Sus scrofa: one gene and its partners. The protein of the gene in region 4 interacts with the protein of the main gene of each other region in a pairwise test. Links are inferred from orthologs where the notes say so. Each region holds a gene or a part of one and is shown on either strand. Other genes may lie near its edges.

What was found. The genes of interacting proteins can lie anywhere in the genome.
Region 1: the proteins of NME7 (region 4) and TCHP interact in binary tests that used the Homo sapiens proteins (3 or more experiments, as listed by UniProt). The two-hybrid records come from large-scale screens. The link is inferred for Sus scrofa from reciprocal best matches to the Homo sapiens genes NME7 and TCHP.
Region 2: the proteins of NME7 (region 4) and SYCE1 interact in binary tests that used the Homo sapiens proteins (3 or more experiments, as listed by UniProt). The two-hybrid records come from large-scale screens. The link is inferred for Sus scrofa from reciprocal best matches to the Homo sapiens genes NME7 and SYCE1.
Region 3: the proteins of NME7 (region 4) and NEFL interact in binary tests that used the Homo sapiens proteins (3 or more experiments, as listed by UniProt). The two-hybrid records come from large-scale screens. The link is inferred for Sus scrofa from reciprocal best matches to the Homo sapiens genes NME7 and NEFL.
Region 5: the proteins of NME7 (region 4) and SHTN1 interact in binary tests that used the Homo sapiens proteins (3 or more experiments, as listed by UniProt). The two-hybrid records come from large-scale screens. The link is inferred for Sus scrofa from reciprocal best matches to the Homo sapiens genes NME7 and SHTN1.

Annotation. Positions count from the first base shown.
Region 1 is NC_010456.5:41,071,145-41,074,644, reverse strand, and holds part of TCHP (trichoplein keratin filament-binding protein), read left to right. Parts: coding exon 1-207; intron 208-770; coding exon 771-827; intron 828-2,400; coding exon 2,401-2,469; intron 2,470-3,133; coding exon 3,134-3,307; intron 3,308-3,500. UniProt on the Homo sapiens protein: Tumor suppressor which has the ability to inhibit cell growth and be pro-apoptotic during cell stress. Inhibits cell growth in bladder and prostate cancer cells by a down-regulation of HSPB1 by inhibiting its phosphorylation.
Region 2 is NC_010456.5:141,727,831-141,731,330, forward strand, and holds part of SYCE1 (synaptonemal complex central element protein 1), read right to left. Parts: intron 3,255-3,500; coding exon 3,180-3,254; intron 2,541-3,179; coding exon 2,493-2,540; intron 2,262-2,492; coding exon 2,207-2,261; intron 1,515-2,206; coding exon 1,425-1,514; intron 1,177-1,424; coding exon 1,113-1,176; intron 381-1,112; coding exon 314-380; intron 229-313; coding exon 105-228; intron 33-104; coding exon 1-32. UniProt on the Homo sapiens protein: Major component of the transverse central element of synaptonemal complexes (SCS), formed between homologous chromosomes during meiotic prophase. Requires SYCP1 in order to be incorporated into the central element.
Region 3 is NC_010456.5:8,990,821-8,993,900, forward strand, and holds the end of NEFL (neurofilament light polypeptide), read right to left. Parts: coding exon 3,058-3,080; intron 2,443-3,057; coding exon 2,300-2,442; 3' UTR 501-2,299; downstream 1-500. UniProt on the Homo sapiens protein: Neurofilaments usually contain three intermediate filament proteins: NEFL, NEFM, and NEFH which are involved in the maintenance of neuronal caliber.
Region 4 is NC_010446.5:81,691,907-81,695,406, reverse strand, and holds part of NME7 (nucleoside diphosphate kinase 7), read right to left. Parts: intron 788-3,500; coding exon 680-787; intron 1-679. UniProt on the Homo sapiens protein: Possesses an intrinsic kinase activity. Displays 3'-5' exonuclease activity with a preference for single-stranded DNA. Does not seem to have nucleoside diphosphate kinase activity.
Region 5 is NC_010456.5:127,067,123-127,070,622, forward strand, and holds part of SHTN1 (shootin-1), read right to left. Parts: intron 147-3,500; coding exon 1-146. UniProt on the Homo sapiens protein: Involved in the generation of internal asymmetric signals required for neuronal polarization and neurite outgrowth.

The sequences.
Region 1 (3,500 bases), on a different chromosome or scaffold from region 4:
CATGCCTACCAGCGGGAGAAGATGAAGGAGGAGGGGAGAAAGCGTCTGGAAGCCAGACGGCAGAGACTCAGACAGCTTCTGCTGGAGGAGCAGGACCTGCTAGTCAGAGAACTAGAGGAACTGAGGCTGAGCATGAACTTGAGGGAAAGGAGAATCCGGGAGCGGCATGGGAATCTGAAGTCGGCCCGAGAAGAGCAAAGGAAACTGGTAACTTTGAGAAACTCTTTAGGAGGCTTCAGAGCAGGAGTCACAGTGAGACCATGTGGGGTCACCTGATAAGAGCTCGTTCCAGAGCCAGCCAAGAGAAGTGCTTGCTCTGAGTTCTTCTTCATGTGTGTTTCCTACGAGACATCTCTATTCTCTTTGGCCCCTTAAACTGTTAGGTCTGAGTCCTTTTTCTTTATGCCAGTTTTGTGGTCCCACAAAGGGCTTGGACTGGTGTATTTTATCCTCCACAGTAGTCGTGTGTTGTGGTAAGCCCAATCTCTGTTTAGTTTGAAACAGATCTTTAGCATCTAGGACCCATCTGCAGCATCAGATTTGGGCCCCCTTTGGCCACCCTGTAAGAGTCACTTGTCAGGGCCCTGCAGTTCCAGGCAGTGTCTGGTTTCCAGCACTGTGGGCACAAGGCACGTGGGAGGTCTGCAGGGCGGTGCAGTGCTGGCGCCAGTAGGGCACTCTTACCTGAGTTGACTTCCACATGGGTTATCCGAAATGTGAATGGATTGGAAAAATGACATCAGGCCTCCCGCTTTGTATTTCCTTGACAGATTGCTGAACAACTTCTGTATGAACACTGGAAAAAGAACAACCCCCAACTTCGAGAGGTGAAAACTGAGGAGCCCCTTCCATTGATTTGCCTAAGTCAATGAAATCATGTTTCCTGTCTTGTTTTTTTTTTTGTTTGTTTGTTTTTGTTTTTTGTCTTTTGTCTTTTTAGGGCCGCACTTGTAGCATATGGAGGTTCCCTGGCTAGGGGCCAGTCGGAGCTGTAGCTGCTGGCCTGTGTCACAGCAATGCAGGATCCCAGCTTCGTTTGCGACCTACACCACAGCTCATGGCAATGCCAGATCCTTAACCCACTGAGCAAGGCCAGGGATCAAACCCAAAACCTCATGGTTCCTAGTCCGGTTCGTTTCCACTGCACCACGACAGGAGCTCCCCACCTTGTTTTTAAACTTGCGTTTTGTGCTGGAGTGAGACAAAACCCTCCAGCCACCTTGAGCTACAAGTGGCTGAGAGGCTGGGACGTCAGACAGGGAGGGTGAACCCCAAGAACTGAGTCTCATGCTGGGTAGGCAGACAGGGCCACCACAGATGGCCTTGTGTGTCCTTCCTCTGGGAGCGTTGGGGAGGGTCTGCATGATTTTAAATGGGTCCAGCTGCATTTTGGAGAACAGCAGCTTTGGCAGCACTGTTGAGGTGGGCCAGAAGGGGTGATATCAATTGAAGGATTGCTGCCACAGCCCAGGTGAGTGATGTGAAGGCCAGAACTGAGGTGGCAGGAGAAAGGGGGACAGAGGCACAGACCTCAGTGCAAGGAGAGGGAGGCGTTTAGGTTTGGGTGACAGCACTCAGCAGAGACTGGGCTAGAGAGAAACAATCCCATGATGAAGATTAGTTTATTTCAGCTTAGTTTGTGTGTATGTTTGGTGGTATTAACTTATAAAGCATAACTACATTTAAAAATTGCCAGTCACAGGTAATAGAATGTTCTGGAGTATTGTATGGTTAGCACTACGCCACAGAGGACTCCTCTCCCCGTGGCTTATAGATTAAAGCAGAACCTCCAAAGTCATGTACTCAAAGTTTATTCAAAACATTCAAGTTAGTTGCAAATGTTTCCATCTATAAGAAATAAATTTAAAACTTTTATAAACAATTTCTCAAAACAAGAGCTTTCAGACAGTGTTGTTTCCTGATTCAAAAGATTCTTTAAACCCAAATCTCTTATTAATAACCCTGAATTTGTTGCATCTCTTGCTTCAGAGCGTGCATGTTTTTACAGCTGCTGCTTTGCAGAGGGAGTGCTGGGGAGCCAGGCCAAGGGTTGAGCCTGCTCCTCACCCAGCTCCTGCTGCCCTGGGGCCTGGCAAGCTTTAGACCAACTGGGGTGGCCTTTGAGATTGAATTTCCATTTCATTGCCTACTGACCCGGTCCTGCTCAGCCCCAAGGGTACTGGGAAAAAAGTTTCTGCTACTTTGTTCCAGTTCTTGAGATGATTTACAAGTGCCTGGCCCTTTGGCTTTCTGATTCACTTGCATTCAACTGTATGTCAGGGTCACCGTGCAATTCCTTATAAAGACACCTGGCCATAACCAGAGCTGTGCTATGCTTGAATATCTCTCTGTCTGATGAACCAGTGGGGACGTTCATATTCTCCACATTCTCATCCTCAGATTGAACTGGACCTTCACAAGAAGCATGTGATAAACTCTTGGGAAATGCAGAAAGAGGAAAAAAAACAGGTATGGTATGTGGTGGGAGACTGTCTCCATGTCTTTGAATTTGTTTCTTGTTTTCAATGTTAATGATTCCAATCCAGGAATAGACTTTTCCTTGTTTACTTAACACATGTTAAAACTGAATATTTGTTGCTCTTACACAAACTAGACTCGTCTGTGGTCACTCCCAGAGGCAGAGTAAGACCAAGTGACCAGGACTGGCTGATGGTAGATGCAACATGCATCCTTGAGGGTTGTTTTTGTTGCTGGTGCCCTATTTTCATGTAGTTTACATCCTAAATTCTCAGACGTGGTTTACAGCAGCACCCCTGGGGATGAAAGTCCACTCTTCCATGGACCCACCGCTTTATCTTGGGGTTCGTTCTGGAAGGTGTTTTGTTGACGTGTGGAAAGGGAGGAACCCTGGCATCCTTGTGCCAGGCACCAAGCCAAAAGCCTCCCAGCTTCATCCCTGAGGACGGCACCACTCCCACGGTTCCCACAGTGAGAACCGAGCTCAGGAAGACACCCTTGCCTGGGCCACACAGCTAAGGGTATAGCCTCCTTGGGTGTAGATGTGCAGAATGAGGAGCAGGCCCTGAGGCCTGCTGATTGGTGGGTGGGGAGCTGGGTCTTTGCTGACTCTGTGCTGTAGACCCTGACCCCGGGTTCCTTTGGCTCTGTGCAGCAAGAAGCCGCTGAAGAGGAAAAGGAAAAACGATATGAAAATGAATACGAAAGGGCCCGACGGGAAGCGCTAGCACGGATGAAGGCTGAAGAGGAAAGGAGGCAGCTGGAGGGTAAACTGCAGGCGGAGGCGCTGCGCCAGCAGATGGAGGAGCTGAAGGTGAAGGAGATGGAGGTGAGGGTGAGCCCGGCTGCCAGAGCCTCCTCGCAGCTGCTTGCTGTTATGAAACAGACATTTAAAAAGCTGTGCTAAGCAGAGATTGTATCAGGGAGATGATTCTAAGAAGTGGAACAGTGCTGGGTCCTCCCTTCAGACATGCATTCCTGTTGCTGGCTCTTCAACACTCCTGGCTTGTGGGCCCAAATTA
Region 2 (3,500 bases), on a different chromosome or scaffold from region 4:
GGGCCTTCCTGTTCTCCTCTTCAAACAGATGCCTGAAGATGGGGCCATCAGTGCTAGCAGCTCCCTTTCTCTACCCCATCCCACCCTCTCCATCTCTGCCTTACACCACAGCTGCTGCCTCCTGGCTGCGGAGGAAGAGCCCCTCAGTGATGGTTGAGCAGCCCTTGGCTCCAAACTGGGAACACAGACGATGCTTCACATCCTCCAGCTTTGCCTCCACCAACTTCTCTGTAGCAGGAAGGAACAGATGGGCAGGGTAGGGCAGGGCAGGGCAGCGCAGAGTTGATCTGGGCATCCCTTCTCCAGGCCTCACCTTCCTTGAGCAACTGTTCCTTGTTGCTGTCCAGGGCATCAATTTCCAGGGCCAGTTGCTCTGGCTTCTGAGGGGTAGAAAGATGGCCTGTCCACATCTCCCATGTGCTGCAGTGAAGCTGACCAAGATCTGGTCTTCCTTACTTCCTACTACTTTGGCCCTCCATGTATGCCAGGCACAGTCCAGCTTCAGGGCCTTTGCACTGGCCATTCCCTCTGCCTAGAGCTTTCACTCCAGATACCTAGGGTGCTGTGCTATGCTGGAGAGGCTCATGAGGTCATGAGTATTCAGGAATTAAACAAGGTTTGAAATCGGCCCTAGAATGAGTATTTACTACAGGAGATCCTGCAAACAGTACAAATCAAGGTTTTTCTTTTGAGAGTAAGTTACCACCCAGTAATGCAGCTCCTCCTCTTACCATCATGTGACCTCACTGAGCTCTTCCATCTGGACAGTCATTTTCTCTGCCTATTTTCTTGTTTGGGATCCCCAGATGCCTGCCCTGTGTCTGTGATGGCCCCAAATACATATATGGATCTCATTTTTGGGTGAGCCCTCCTTGGTTCATCGGGGTTCCTCATGACCACTTAAGGATACTTGGAGAGCATCAGGGATGGGTGGGCAGGTCTGGTGAAGAGGTCAGCAGCAGGTGGCAATGAGGGTGCTGCACAGCTGCCAGGGTTTGTACGGAACTAGGTGTGGAAGTACAGAGGAAGGAGGCCTGGAGAATTCCATTGGTTTGGGGCCTGGTGCTGCCGGGGGAGATGCGGAAGGTTGAAGGAGTGGCTGAGTGACTCACATGGAATTCCCAGAGGTCCTTATGCTGGCCCATCAGATCCTCCAGCTGTTCTTCAAAATCCAACCTGGAGATCAAGCACATAGGATGAGGGGCCGTGGGCTGAGAGACACCCCTCCCCAACCTTGCACAGCTAGGGCCTTCATGCACAGACCAGGGGGAGCTCACCCATGCTCTTCATGCTGCTGGGAACACCTTCTCCACTTTGACCCTCCAAGCTTCAGCTCGGCCAGCTACTCTTCTAACCTCCATTGCTGGTATAACTCCCACTGACAACCCAGCCCAGCCCATCAGGCTTCAGGTGATGGGCTTTACCTCAGCTTCCTCTGTTTGTTCTTTTCTTCCTCGATCTGGGAATTCAGGGCAGAAATTCGCTCCTTGCATTCCTGCAGCATGGTTTGCTTCCTGGCAAGAGTCAGCGCAGCCCTTCATCATGTTCTCTGAATGTCTCCCTACATTCAGGGGTTGGGGTAGGGCTTCTGCATCCTTCTCTTGAGGTCTGTTCTAGCCTTCTAGATTGAGGTCCATCTCTGTAACTTTGTAGGGGGACATGAGCACATGCCCCCAGGAAATGTCATTGTGAAGATTAGAGAGATCAGTGTGGGTCTGGTCAAATGCACAATCACACAGGTTAACCTCATGTGAATTTCTCTAACAGTTTCAATCTTGGTATGCTAGGGGCTTGGGGCTTCTGGTCACAAGATGAGCAAAATAAGCATTGAGGAGGTAGAGATCAATGCACAAATAGTTGGGTGGATGGAAGGATAATGGATGGAGAGATGGCTGGCTTGATGCCTTAAATGAAGGGACAGATAAGCGAACAAACAGCTGCTGTGGAAAGTATCAAAGGTACAGAATAAAAACCAGCTGAAGGAATTTAACATTCTAGCAAATGAGTGCTTATTCCAGGTGGGTGAGTGAGAGGGTATTCTTAACACTACTGCCCGCTGTTGCAGCCAAGATGGAAAGACCCTTATTTGGCCTCTCCATTTTACAGAGGGAGAAGATGAGAGCTGTGGGTCTAAAACTGATTTCACTTACTTTCTCTACCAGAATGAAGGGGTAGCTTGGAGCAGGGCCCAGGTAGAGGCTCTTACCTCTGTGCCTCACTTTCCTTCTCCTGGCAGTGGAGCCGGAGGATCCTCAGGGTCTCTGCAGAGAGAGGAAGTGAGGGGGCCATGAGAGCTCATCAAGGCATGAGGTTTGGGCAGAGGTAAAAGGGCCAGGTCATGTGGACACCGTATGGGACTGTCATTTACTGTGGTGGAATCCACAGGAGGGGTGCAAGGTGATTCAGGTTTCAAAAGGCTTCTATCACTATAGAGAGTAGGCTTATACAGGTTGGAAAAGGCAAAAACATGAAGACAGAACAGCTATAATTACCTTGCTTTTTGCTCAAGATCTCTTTCAGGCGTACTTTCTCTCCACTCACTGGAAAAAGTAACATGTTCAGGCATCAGGGACCATTCACTGCACCCCTGGGGACCAGGCCTGCGCACGGTCACATGGGCAGTTTCATACAGGCTTACCCCTGACCCCAAATGTGGACCCCCAAGGTGACCCTCTCCTCTCTTGTGCTGACACTCGCTATAAGCACTAGAGTCCTGAAGGTGATAAAGGGTGTCTGTGATGACTTTGTGGGATGCCAGTGTGTTTACATGAAAGGGAGAGAAAAAATAAGAAACACATCACATGAAGTGGGACAAGGACTGTGAAGAAATAACATCAAGCAGTAAGTGGCACGTGCCCAGGCAGGGACAGGGTGCTGTTTTTAGGTAACTGGGGAAGGCCTCTCTGAGCATACTTGAGCTGAGAGCTGAGGATGATGTGAGGCAACAGGAAGTGGTGGTATCTGGGGGGACTGTCTAGCCAAGGCCCTGAGGTAGAGGCATGCTTACAGAGTTTTTCAGGAACCTTCCCACCAACACAGTGGGAGGAGCAGGGATTAGAAGGATCTGAGGTTGAAGGGCAGGAGCCCTTGGTCACAGCCAAGAACGCAGACATCTGGAATACTGTGTTCAAAGCTGCATGACATTGTGTGGACCTCTGGGTGACCGGTGACAAGCTTACATGAGTCAAGTTCCTTTTGCAGGGTCTCCCAGACAGTCCGGGCCTCTCCCAGCTCTTCACTGGCTTTCTTTTTTGCTGTGCCAAAGAGTAAAACATTATTTAAGTGTCTTTTCCTTGCAAATATTTCACATTTGTCTTCAAGTAAACCTAAAGGGGCTCAGGCTTTACAGAGCAGGAAATGGGGCTTCCAGGAGCCTAAGCCCTTCCTGTTAGGTTCAGGTGGCAGCAGGGCCAGGTTAATAAACATGACTATAGCAGTTAGTATTTAGATGGACCAACCCATGCCTCATTTAATGCTCTGCTCTTTCAAAACACTTTGTA
Region 3 (3,080 bases), on a different chromosome or scaffold from region 4:
GTTCCGGCCATGGCACAGTGGAAACAAATCCAACTAGGAATCATGAGGTTGCAGGTTCGATCCCTGGCCTCATTCAGTGGGTTAAGGATCCGGTGTTGCCGTGAATTGTGGTGTAGGTCTCAGACTCGGATCTGGCGTTGCTGTGGCTCTGGCGTAGGCCGGCAGCAACAGCTCTGATTCGACCCCTGCCTGGGAACCTCCATATGTCCCAGGTGTGTGTCTAAAAAGACAAAAAAAGACAAAAAAAAAAAGATATGCAGGCAGTAAAATTAACTGACTTGGTAATAGATTAGGCCAAAGGAATCAGGGAGAGGAAATGAGAGGTATGATGTCACACCCAGTCTCTGGTTTTCAGAATTAGATGGCTGGGGAGTGGTGCCATTAACTTGGGAAGGGAATACAGAGAAAGAACTACAGTTTGGGAGGAGCAGAAGGGAGAGGGACACTGGCCGAGGTCCACATTTGAGGAAGTTTTTTTTAAAGACTTCAAATCCATTTCGTTTGGTTTTTCAGTATTTTATTATGGCACACAGGATAGAGTATGATACAGTGCTCTTACTTCAAGTAATTCTCAAATCAACCAGTCATTTCCATTCGGCTAAAGTTACATTTTTACATGTCATTTGCATCTGTCTGACATTTACCACGAGCAGCATCCCATGTTTAATGAATATAATTATGAAAAGCTTGGTTTCTGAGGCAACTCCTAGTCTTTGCAGAAGCCAGTGTGCCAAGAATCCTCAGAGTTCAAATCCATAGCATCATGGTAGATGAAGAAATATTTCACCTCTTTGCTTTAGTGACATATATTTAACTAGAAATGCATACTGTGATGGGATCAGATAACTTTAAATGGAGACCACCTGGCTTTCAGATTAAATTCATGACCTTTAAAAACTGCCTAAACAACAAACATTGAGTGAAAATAAGCTGACAAAGCAATGGAGTAAGAACAAAAGCAAAACAGCAAATAATCAGTAATTTCATCGATATTCCACATCAAAGGCAAGTGCAAGAGCTTTCATAACTTAACAGTGAACAGGAAGGATGGATGGGGTATGTATTTGATGCAATATCCAACCAGTTAGAGTTATCATTGAAATCCAAATATTTTCCAATATAAGACATGCGGAGCAATGGCAATGTAACACACAAGTATATAATCCCCCCTTTAGTGATGGGTGACAATTTCGTTATCTGTATTTATAGTTCTTAAAACATTTAAAATAGGTGGCATTAAAGGCTATTTACTTGAGGCGAAAGAATTAAGCTAACAACACACTCAAAAATGAGCTCAGGATTGCAGGCAACATTTGCAATGGCAAATCAACTTTGCTCTTCTTACTCCATCCAAAATTATACATTGACCAAAAATCATTCCTTCTGATTCTGTAACTTGCTTGGGTTTCAACATCTGCTCCTGATATTTTGAGTATATTTTTAAAATGTAGTTATAGTGATGGATGGCTTGGATTCATATTCTATCCATCTTGCATTTATTATTACATACTAGTGTTAAAGTTACCTGTTTACCATAAAGGGTATATTTATCACATAACTTCAGAATTGCCTCCAAGAAAGCCATTCCCAACATTATATAGAAAATTACAGGGCAAAGCATATTGCTATTTATAAAAGAAAAGTGGGTTTCCCTTTTACTTGAATTTATTATTAGTAAAATTTTTGAGGGAAGATTTCATGAATAGTCATGACCTAATTGTATCCTCAGAAGAACCAATTAATGGGGGGAAATGCATTATAATTACTAAAATTTTGATTTAAAAAATTTGGAGGGGAAGAGTCCATTTCTGTGTGTCTTACATTGGTGCCCTCTTTAAGACATTGGAATTAAGTCAACAGCCACAGCAAGGAATGTCATTCAGTGTAACTTTATTTACTATTTATTGCACATAATTTGAGGTCTTTAATTTCTAACCACCAAAGTTTCAAAGGACTATTTTTTCTATGAAGTTTAACATTAACATTAGTGAATTCATTTATTCATTTTTTTAAATTGTAAACATCTGAATTATTCACATTGCCATAGATCCTGAACTCATAAGCGTGGACCATGCACAGGCTGGCAGCAAGCCAGGAAGCCACTCTGCAAGCAAACAGATACTCTGCATAAGGAGAAAAGTCATAGCACAACATTTAATGTCCAACCTAAGTCATCTCAGAATTATACATATATTGACTTCTTAATTCATATAGTATCTGCAACTCAACTGGTTGGTTGGTGATGGGGTTGACCTGATTTCGGGAGAATTATTCCTGGAATAAATAAGGGAAGTGGGGCTCAATCTTTCTTCTTAGTTGCTTGCTCCTCCCCAGCACCTTCATCTTTTTTCTCCTCCTCCTCGGCTTCTTTGGTTTCTTCTCCTTCTTCACCTTCACCTCCTTCTTCTTCCTCCTTTGCTTCCTCAGATTCTTCCTTGGCAGCTTTAACATAAAAAGAAAATGTACAAACTCCGAATGCAGGGTGAGTCCAATCAAAATATTTCAGCTAAGGTTTGGTGGAGAAACATAAATGTCAGAATCCTTCCCCCAAACCTCTCCGCTCCTCGGTCCCAAAATGCATGCAACCTACAATGCTTGCTGAGAATAATTTGACACCAAACACCTATTTAAACCGCATGAGATTAAGTCTATGTACTGGGAGCTCTGCTCTTCTCCAGGACCTTGGTTTTTCTTTTATTCTGTGTTTGGTATTCATTTTTGTTCTTTAGGACACCAAACTGCTGAGTTAAATGAATAGATTTTAAAATGTTTAATTAGGAATAAAAGGACAGCAGGAAGAGAATTTTTTAATGTTATTTTCAAAAAAAGTACCAAGCTAATCAGAGATGTGTGTCTCTGGGAGAACAGCCAAGTTGAGAAATGAGGTACCTACTAAAGATTTGTGGACTAAATAGATAAATGTATTATTTAAGATTCTGAACTCACAAATGAATACAACTTCCTTGAGTAAGGCTCCATTCATCTTACCCACCTCCTGACACATTTTCAGGCTGCACCTGAAGGTGTAGGGTGGTTTTTGTTTTGTTTTAATCCTACCTTCTTCTTCTTCTTCTTGGGCA
Region 4 (3,500 bases):
ATACAAGATCCAAATTACCAAACAGATCCACCTGCAAAAGGGGTTGTCAATGAAGGGACATAAAGTGGGACTCTTTGAGTTCAATCTTCTTCTATTTGGCTTTTCGTAGAGATAACAGTAATGAACAGCACTCAACAACGGTAACATATTTATGATCATGATCATCTTTGTCTATAGCCACTTGCTGATTATTGCTTAGTCCAAAACATGAATAATCCCACTTCAGTTTTCTAACTAAAAAAATAACTTCAGAGTTCCCAATGTGGTGCAGCAGAAACGAATCCGACTAATAACCATGAGGTTGCCGGTTTGATCACTGGCTTCGCTCAGCGGGTTAAGGATCTGGCCTTGCTGTGAGCTGTGGCATAGGTCGCAGAGGCGACTCGGATCCCATGTTGCTGAGGCTGTGGTGTAGGCCGGCAGCTGTAGCTCTGATTGGACCCCTAGCCTGGAAACCTCCATATGCCATGGGTGTGGCCCTAAAAAAAAAAAAAGAAAAAGAAAAATAATAATTTCTATTAAAAATAAAGGTACAAAAGTATCTTCTTATATTGGAATTACAATATCAAAATAAAAAGGATGTATTTTTAAAAGTAACTACAAAAAAGGCAATCCTTTTCCTCTCCCTAGCCCACCTTCATCCTGTTACCCGCTTTTAAGTGAAGAAAGGTTCATTTACCATTTCAACAGATCCATCCCCTGGGTAAAATAAAAGCTCATAACGTCGAAATAGTGAAGCATTTGGATCATACCACTCTGCAATGAAAACGAATCTTTCACTGTGATTCTGCAAAGAGAAGAATTTTAACATGAACATATAAAATATAAGGACTCAAAGTCATACAAATTTAAAGAATCAGTAAATATTTGCAACAAATCTGTTACTACTTATTATATTGAATAATTCTTGTCATACTGAATAGAATTTCAACAATATTACCAGCTATCAAAACACTCAGAAATATTCCTTCTAATTTCTTTTTAAATATCCTTAGATATCTCAAAGATGACATATGAGCTGCTTAATACTTCATGGCCATCCAACCATCCTGAGTAAAATGACAGTTTTTTAGAACATCAACTCCTGATCTGACTACTGTGATAGTTCAGTCCTTCTGAAAGCAAGTTTACACATAGGCAGATGATCAATAAACTAGCATGGGAAAAAAAAATTTCTGAGAGGCTACCCCTAAATTACATGAAGTGTTAACTGACCTAACTTTAAGAATCCAGTCGTATTAGAATATTGTTGTCATTCAATTATAGTAAGTATCTTTTCTCTCCTTAGTAATTTCACATGATAGTATCTTTTACAGAAATAGAGGGAGAATGTGCTAGTCTAGATCCTCCAAGAAGCAGACAAGATGCCAAGATGGGATTAAACATGCAAGAATTTTATTCCTGTAAAAGAAATTCTGTATGGAAAGTTGCTGCAAGGGAAAATAGGGAGGGATCCAGGGGAAGCTGGCAGACCACCATACGAATCTGACCTTGAGGGAAGGAGAGAGAGAAGGAAGGCTGGGTGAAATCCTCCTGGATTGCTAGACAGTCCAAGGAAGGTTCAGTAAGACCATCGGGGAGTGCTCAAGCCAAGAGCCCTCAGATAGTTCCTTGACTCCACAGAGGAGAAGCCTGCTTTAGTAACTCTGCTCCTCTCAGTCACCGAGTGAGCCCTGGGGGAGCATGTGCTAGGTAGAAAAGCAGCAGTAGATTTCAGAGCACAGTAGCTGAGGACCTTTGGTCATTTTGCTACCTCTAGCTGAAGATATGTGAGGTACATACAATGAAAACATAAGTCAAAGATTGGCCCTCTTCCCTCGTCTAGTGAAGGATTTCCCATCCTATGTTATTAATAATATCTTAGCCCTCAAAGATCCCTCATCAAGATAAGCAAATGAAGACACAGGAAGAAAATCTAAGTGTTTTGTTGCTAATTCTGGATTTAGAATTCGATTCTCTGGTTAGGGTATATGAATGGATTCCTTTCATGTTAATAATACACTTACAAATTCTAATAGTAGTATATCTAGTTATATTTATGATATATACTCATCAGCTACAATGTAGGTAGTTTTTAAGACACTCTTTTATTTTTTTCTCATAATCATCCAAAAAGAAACATTTTTTCACTTTTTTTTATATATAATGTTTTTTGGGTTTTTTTAATTATAACTGGTTTGGGAATTTCCAAAATGACACATTTAAACAATGCTTATTAGTCAAGAGAAAATAAAAATGAGATATACTATGACAAGCCTTTCTTCATTTACTATTTTCATTGATCCTTATAAATACAGTTTTTTTATTTTTATTCTTTCAATACAGGTTTTCAAAATGTAGGTTTCACTGTGCATTTTAGTATTGTACTCCCCTTTTAATAAATTTAAATATTAGTAGTTCATTAAAATTTTACTATCTATATTAAAATTTTTTTAATGTTTCTCACATTATTCTCCATCATGTCCCATCACAAGTGACTAGATATAGTTCCCTGTGCAGGAACCCATCACTTATCCATTCTAAATATAATAGTTTGCATCTACTAACCCCAAACTCCCAGTCCATCCCACTCCCTCCCCCTTCCCCTTGGCAATCACAAGTCTGTATTCTATGTCCATGAGTTTGTTTCTCTTCTATGGAAAGATTCATTTGTGCCATATATTAGATTCCAGATATAAGTGATATGTGGTATTTGTCTTTCTGACTTACTTAGTATGAGAGTCTCTAGTTCTATCCATGTTGCTGCAGATGGCACTATTTTGCTCTTTTTTATGGAATTTGCTCAAAAATATCATTGAAATATTGCCTTCACTAAAATAAATAATATATGAGATGGATGAAATGGTGAGACATCTAAGCGAAGGTAAAAGGAGCTCCCATGGTGGCACAGTGGAAACAAATCCGACCAGGAACCATGAGGTTGCAGGTTCGATCCTTGGCCTTGCTCAGTGGGTTAAGGATCTGGCATTGCTGTGGCTCTGGTGTAGGCCAGTGACAACAGCTCCAATTAAATCCCTAGCCTGGGAACTTCCATATGCCGCGGGTGAGGTCTTAAAAAAGACAAAAGACAAAAATAATAATAATAAAAGGGCAAAGAGAGTGAAGCAAATGAAAAACCAATGAAATCTGGCACTTCCAGTTTTCCAGGCAGCTTAACCATAAAATCTGCCAATCACCCTTTAATTCTGAGGCAGACAGAAGAATTTCTCATGATTGGTTATCCAGAAAATAATATAAAGATGATAAACTGAGGAATTACTATTCTAGTTGACAATGTAGCTTATAGCAAATCAATGCTACTATCCAAGAACAACTAGAGAAGTGAGATATTTTTAAAAATCTGTTTGATGACCTTGGAGAGCATTTGAAGCAGCCAGATTTGATGATCTAGATTAAGAAAGACTAGATCTCACTGAGGTTAGCATGGCATTCGTCACGTTGCTTTTACATGAGACTCAAGCTGAATGAGAGACTGAGAAGCTCAAGAAGCTGGTAGAGGA
Region 5 (3,500 bases), on a different chromosome or scaffold from region 4:
CATCCTTGTGTTGAGTTGGATCTTTTTCAGCAACCTGGTCTTTGGTTTGGGGTTCATATGTGGAAACAGGATCTAAAACTACAACTGGTTCAGCTTGTTTTTCACTGCCAATGTATTGTCTCCTGCATCCAGTGCTACTGGGAGGCCTAGGGGATGAACAGTTAAACAAAAAAATTAAAAGCAGAGAGAGAAAATATTTGTCTTTCATATTCCTCCATTCAGATGAGCAAAAAACCCAAAATGTTCTAAGTCTAATCAACATGCAAAAAGTGGTCTTTGAGGAGCCAGCCGTTAAAAAAAAAAAAAGAAGAAGAAGAAGAAGAAGAAGAGGCTATTAGATTACATATTAGGAGCACAAGGCCAGAAGAATGGCAGAAAAAGTCAGAGCAATTAACTTGCGGAAGTGTTAAAAGCCAAATGCACCTACCTGCTTAATTGCATGCTCTTCTCAGAGAAGCACAAAGCTCAGGGACACTGTGCATACCTCCCAATGCCTGCCGCCCCCAGACTCCCGTCCCACCCCCAGGCAGCTGGAAGGAGCCAGTTAACCCCTTGCTTGTGTCCCGGAGTCCATGTGGTTGCAGATTAGCTCTGAGGAGACTGCATCAAGGAGGGAAATTAATCACCCCCATCCCTGATGGACAGCTGAGAGGTGTGCCAGCTGCTGTCAACACTTGCAAGAGTAACTCTGGTCAGACCTAGGGAGGGATGACGGAAGGAACTAGGGCAGATAGGAGAATCCAGAGAATAAGTTGAAATGCTAAGTGACCATACACTTTTTCTACAAAGAATCATGTTTGAGAATTTTTTTTTTTTTTTTTTTTTTTTTTTTGCTTTTTAGGGCTACACCTGCAGCATAAGGAAGTTCCCAGACTAGGGGTCAAATCAGAGCTGCAGCTGCTGGCCTACGCCATAGCCATGCAGGATCTGTAACCTACACCACAGCTCATGGCCATGCTAGATCTTTAACCCACTGAGCAAGGTCAGGTATCAAACTTGCATCCTCATGGATACTAGTTGGGTTGGTAACTTGCTGAACCACAACAGGAACTTCCAAGAAATTTCTTACTAAATTTCAAATGCAGTTTCTTTTGCCATCAAGGTTTCCTCTCTTCTCTTCTGATCTAAGAAGCTACTGCTTCTCAAGCTGAAGGGGTGACAACTTCCTTGTAGAAACAGAGATGTCCTGAAATGTTCCTCACTTGCCATGTGCCAGGAAATTAGGCTGTGGGCACCTGTTCCTCTCAGAAGTCACTGGTCAGGAGCTACCATCTGAAGGTTGTGGACTGCTGACCTGATGCCTGGAGGTTAAGGGGTATGTAGTGGGCAGGGCAAGGGCTATTCAGACTCATCTGGTCTTCCTGGCAAATGCTAGATATCAACCATGATCAGCACACCCCTGTCCCACCTCCACCTCTGGATGTCAGGACATGTACTGGTGAACTGTTAGCCAGGGTCTGTCCACTGCTCTACCAGGCCCTTGCCAGGAGTTGATTTCTCCTATTCCCTGGCCCCTCGGTTAGATCTGCTGCTTAGATACTCTCTTACCGCCTAATACTTCTCCCTTGTTGGACTTACCACAGTTACAATTAAATAATGGCAATCAGTGGTTTAGCGTCTACCTCTTCAAATAAAATGTATGTGTCCACGAGATGGGCTGTTTAGGTTTGCTCACAGTTATACACCAGCACCCAGGGCAGATCCATTTGTGGAATAAACAGATGGAGTAAACTAATGAACTAACTGTGTTTGAAAGGCTCAGAATGAATACACAGAAACCAAGGTTTGATATGAGTAGGTATAGAGGTCTCTTATACAACAAAAGCAACAGAACCAGTGTTCAACTATTGAGACAAAGTGGCCTGCATGATCCAGCCACAGGTACCAAAAACTCAAACCCAGTGACGACAGTTTTATCACAAGTACTATGAGATTTGTCCAAATACTTGAAAACCACTCCCTAGGGCTATCCAGTTATACTCTGTGACCTGATCATCATTGATAAGTGACTACCACAAACTGTCTTCTTTGGAGGTGGTAAAAGCAAAGAGATGACCAGGAGCCTGAGAGGAAAGCTATAGTGTAGTGAGGACAGATTGCTTTATTTCTGCCTGCATTTGACGACACCCTTGTTATTAGAAAATACCGTGACACTGTCCATTCACCTTGGCCAAAGATCCACTACTCAAGATATCTGTCACTGTGCTTTGGGAATTAGTATGAGATATGGTTTCTCTGCTGCTACCTGCCTTAACTTTCTCTGATTCAGGCAACACCTAAAAGACTGAATCCATTAGGGCAGCGTCTGAGAACCAGAACTACCACAAATGGCCTAAGGGATTTATTAGAGGCAAGGAGAGAGCTAGTTGGACAGTTTATGTGAGGTTGCTGACTCTATGTATGATGCTGGGCCTGAAGTCAACGGTTCTTACAGCTGAAAAGGAAGATGGGTGGAAAGTGGCAAGAAGCTGAGGACAAACCAGAGCTGCATCTGTCTTTCACAACCTCCAATCCTGATGGTGAAGATGAGCTGCAGGGTCAGCTGGAACCCTTCCACATGAAATTGCACATGCACCTGGCCTAGAATTTGGGGAAGGTGGAGAAGATCGGGGGAGCCGGGGAGCCGGAGAAACTATGTGCTAACTAGGTGACAACGTGCATAAACTGTAATAGGGCCTGCCCTACACAGACCTTCAGAGAATTTTTTTTTTTTTTTTAAAGACTACTATGTCACTTCCATCTTCCAAATCTCATGCAAATTTTTCCTGTGGCCAACCCTAACCTGCAAGTAAATGGACAAGGGAATTCTAGGAAATGAAGCTCCAGCCAAGCTAAGCTGTTAGTCAAAGCTACACAAACTCTGCTGGTCAAGGCCCCAGTCTGGCTCTCCCACCCTGGGCTTGAGCCCACTGTATGTAAGCCAGCCAATCTGCTCTACACATGCAAAGGATCCATCTCATTCTAGGTGAGCAACTTCCATCAACCCATACTGACCTTCATCGCTTTTGTAGAACTACCATGGATGTTTTCATGGCCATGTGTGTCTGCAGGTGAAGGGGTGGTGAACACATCCTAAAAAGCTTTTCTTCATCAGCTGGAGGCTGAAAACTTCCAGGAAGTGCTCTCAGGGCTCCACAACAGCAACAAATAGGTGTTGATTGAACTGAAAACTCAGAAACTTTGTATTGCCAAGGCTGAAATTGTCCTGGAATTATCTCAGTCCAGAGTACTGCTGTTCTTTCCTGAAGTAAGCTTCTCGATAATAGAGGAATCTATTAAGTCACCTGTAGGCTCCAATTTGAGAACTCCTTTGTTGATTATCACTGAACTTGGCACAGTGGGAAATTTCTCTGAATCTATGTGTTGAGAGTGAGAGTAACTAGTGTCTTAAAGATAATGACCACTGACTTGGAACCCCAATGGGTTAAGGCTAAAAGGGATGGTGGCAATCATCCAGTCCAGCTGGTCCTTTTACAAATGAGGAAAATGAGGTGTGGAGA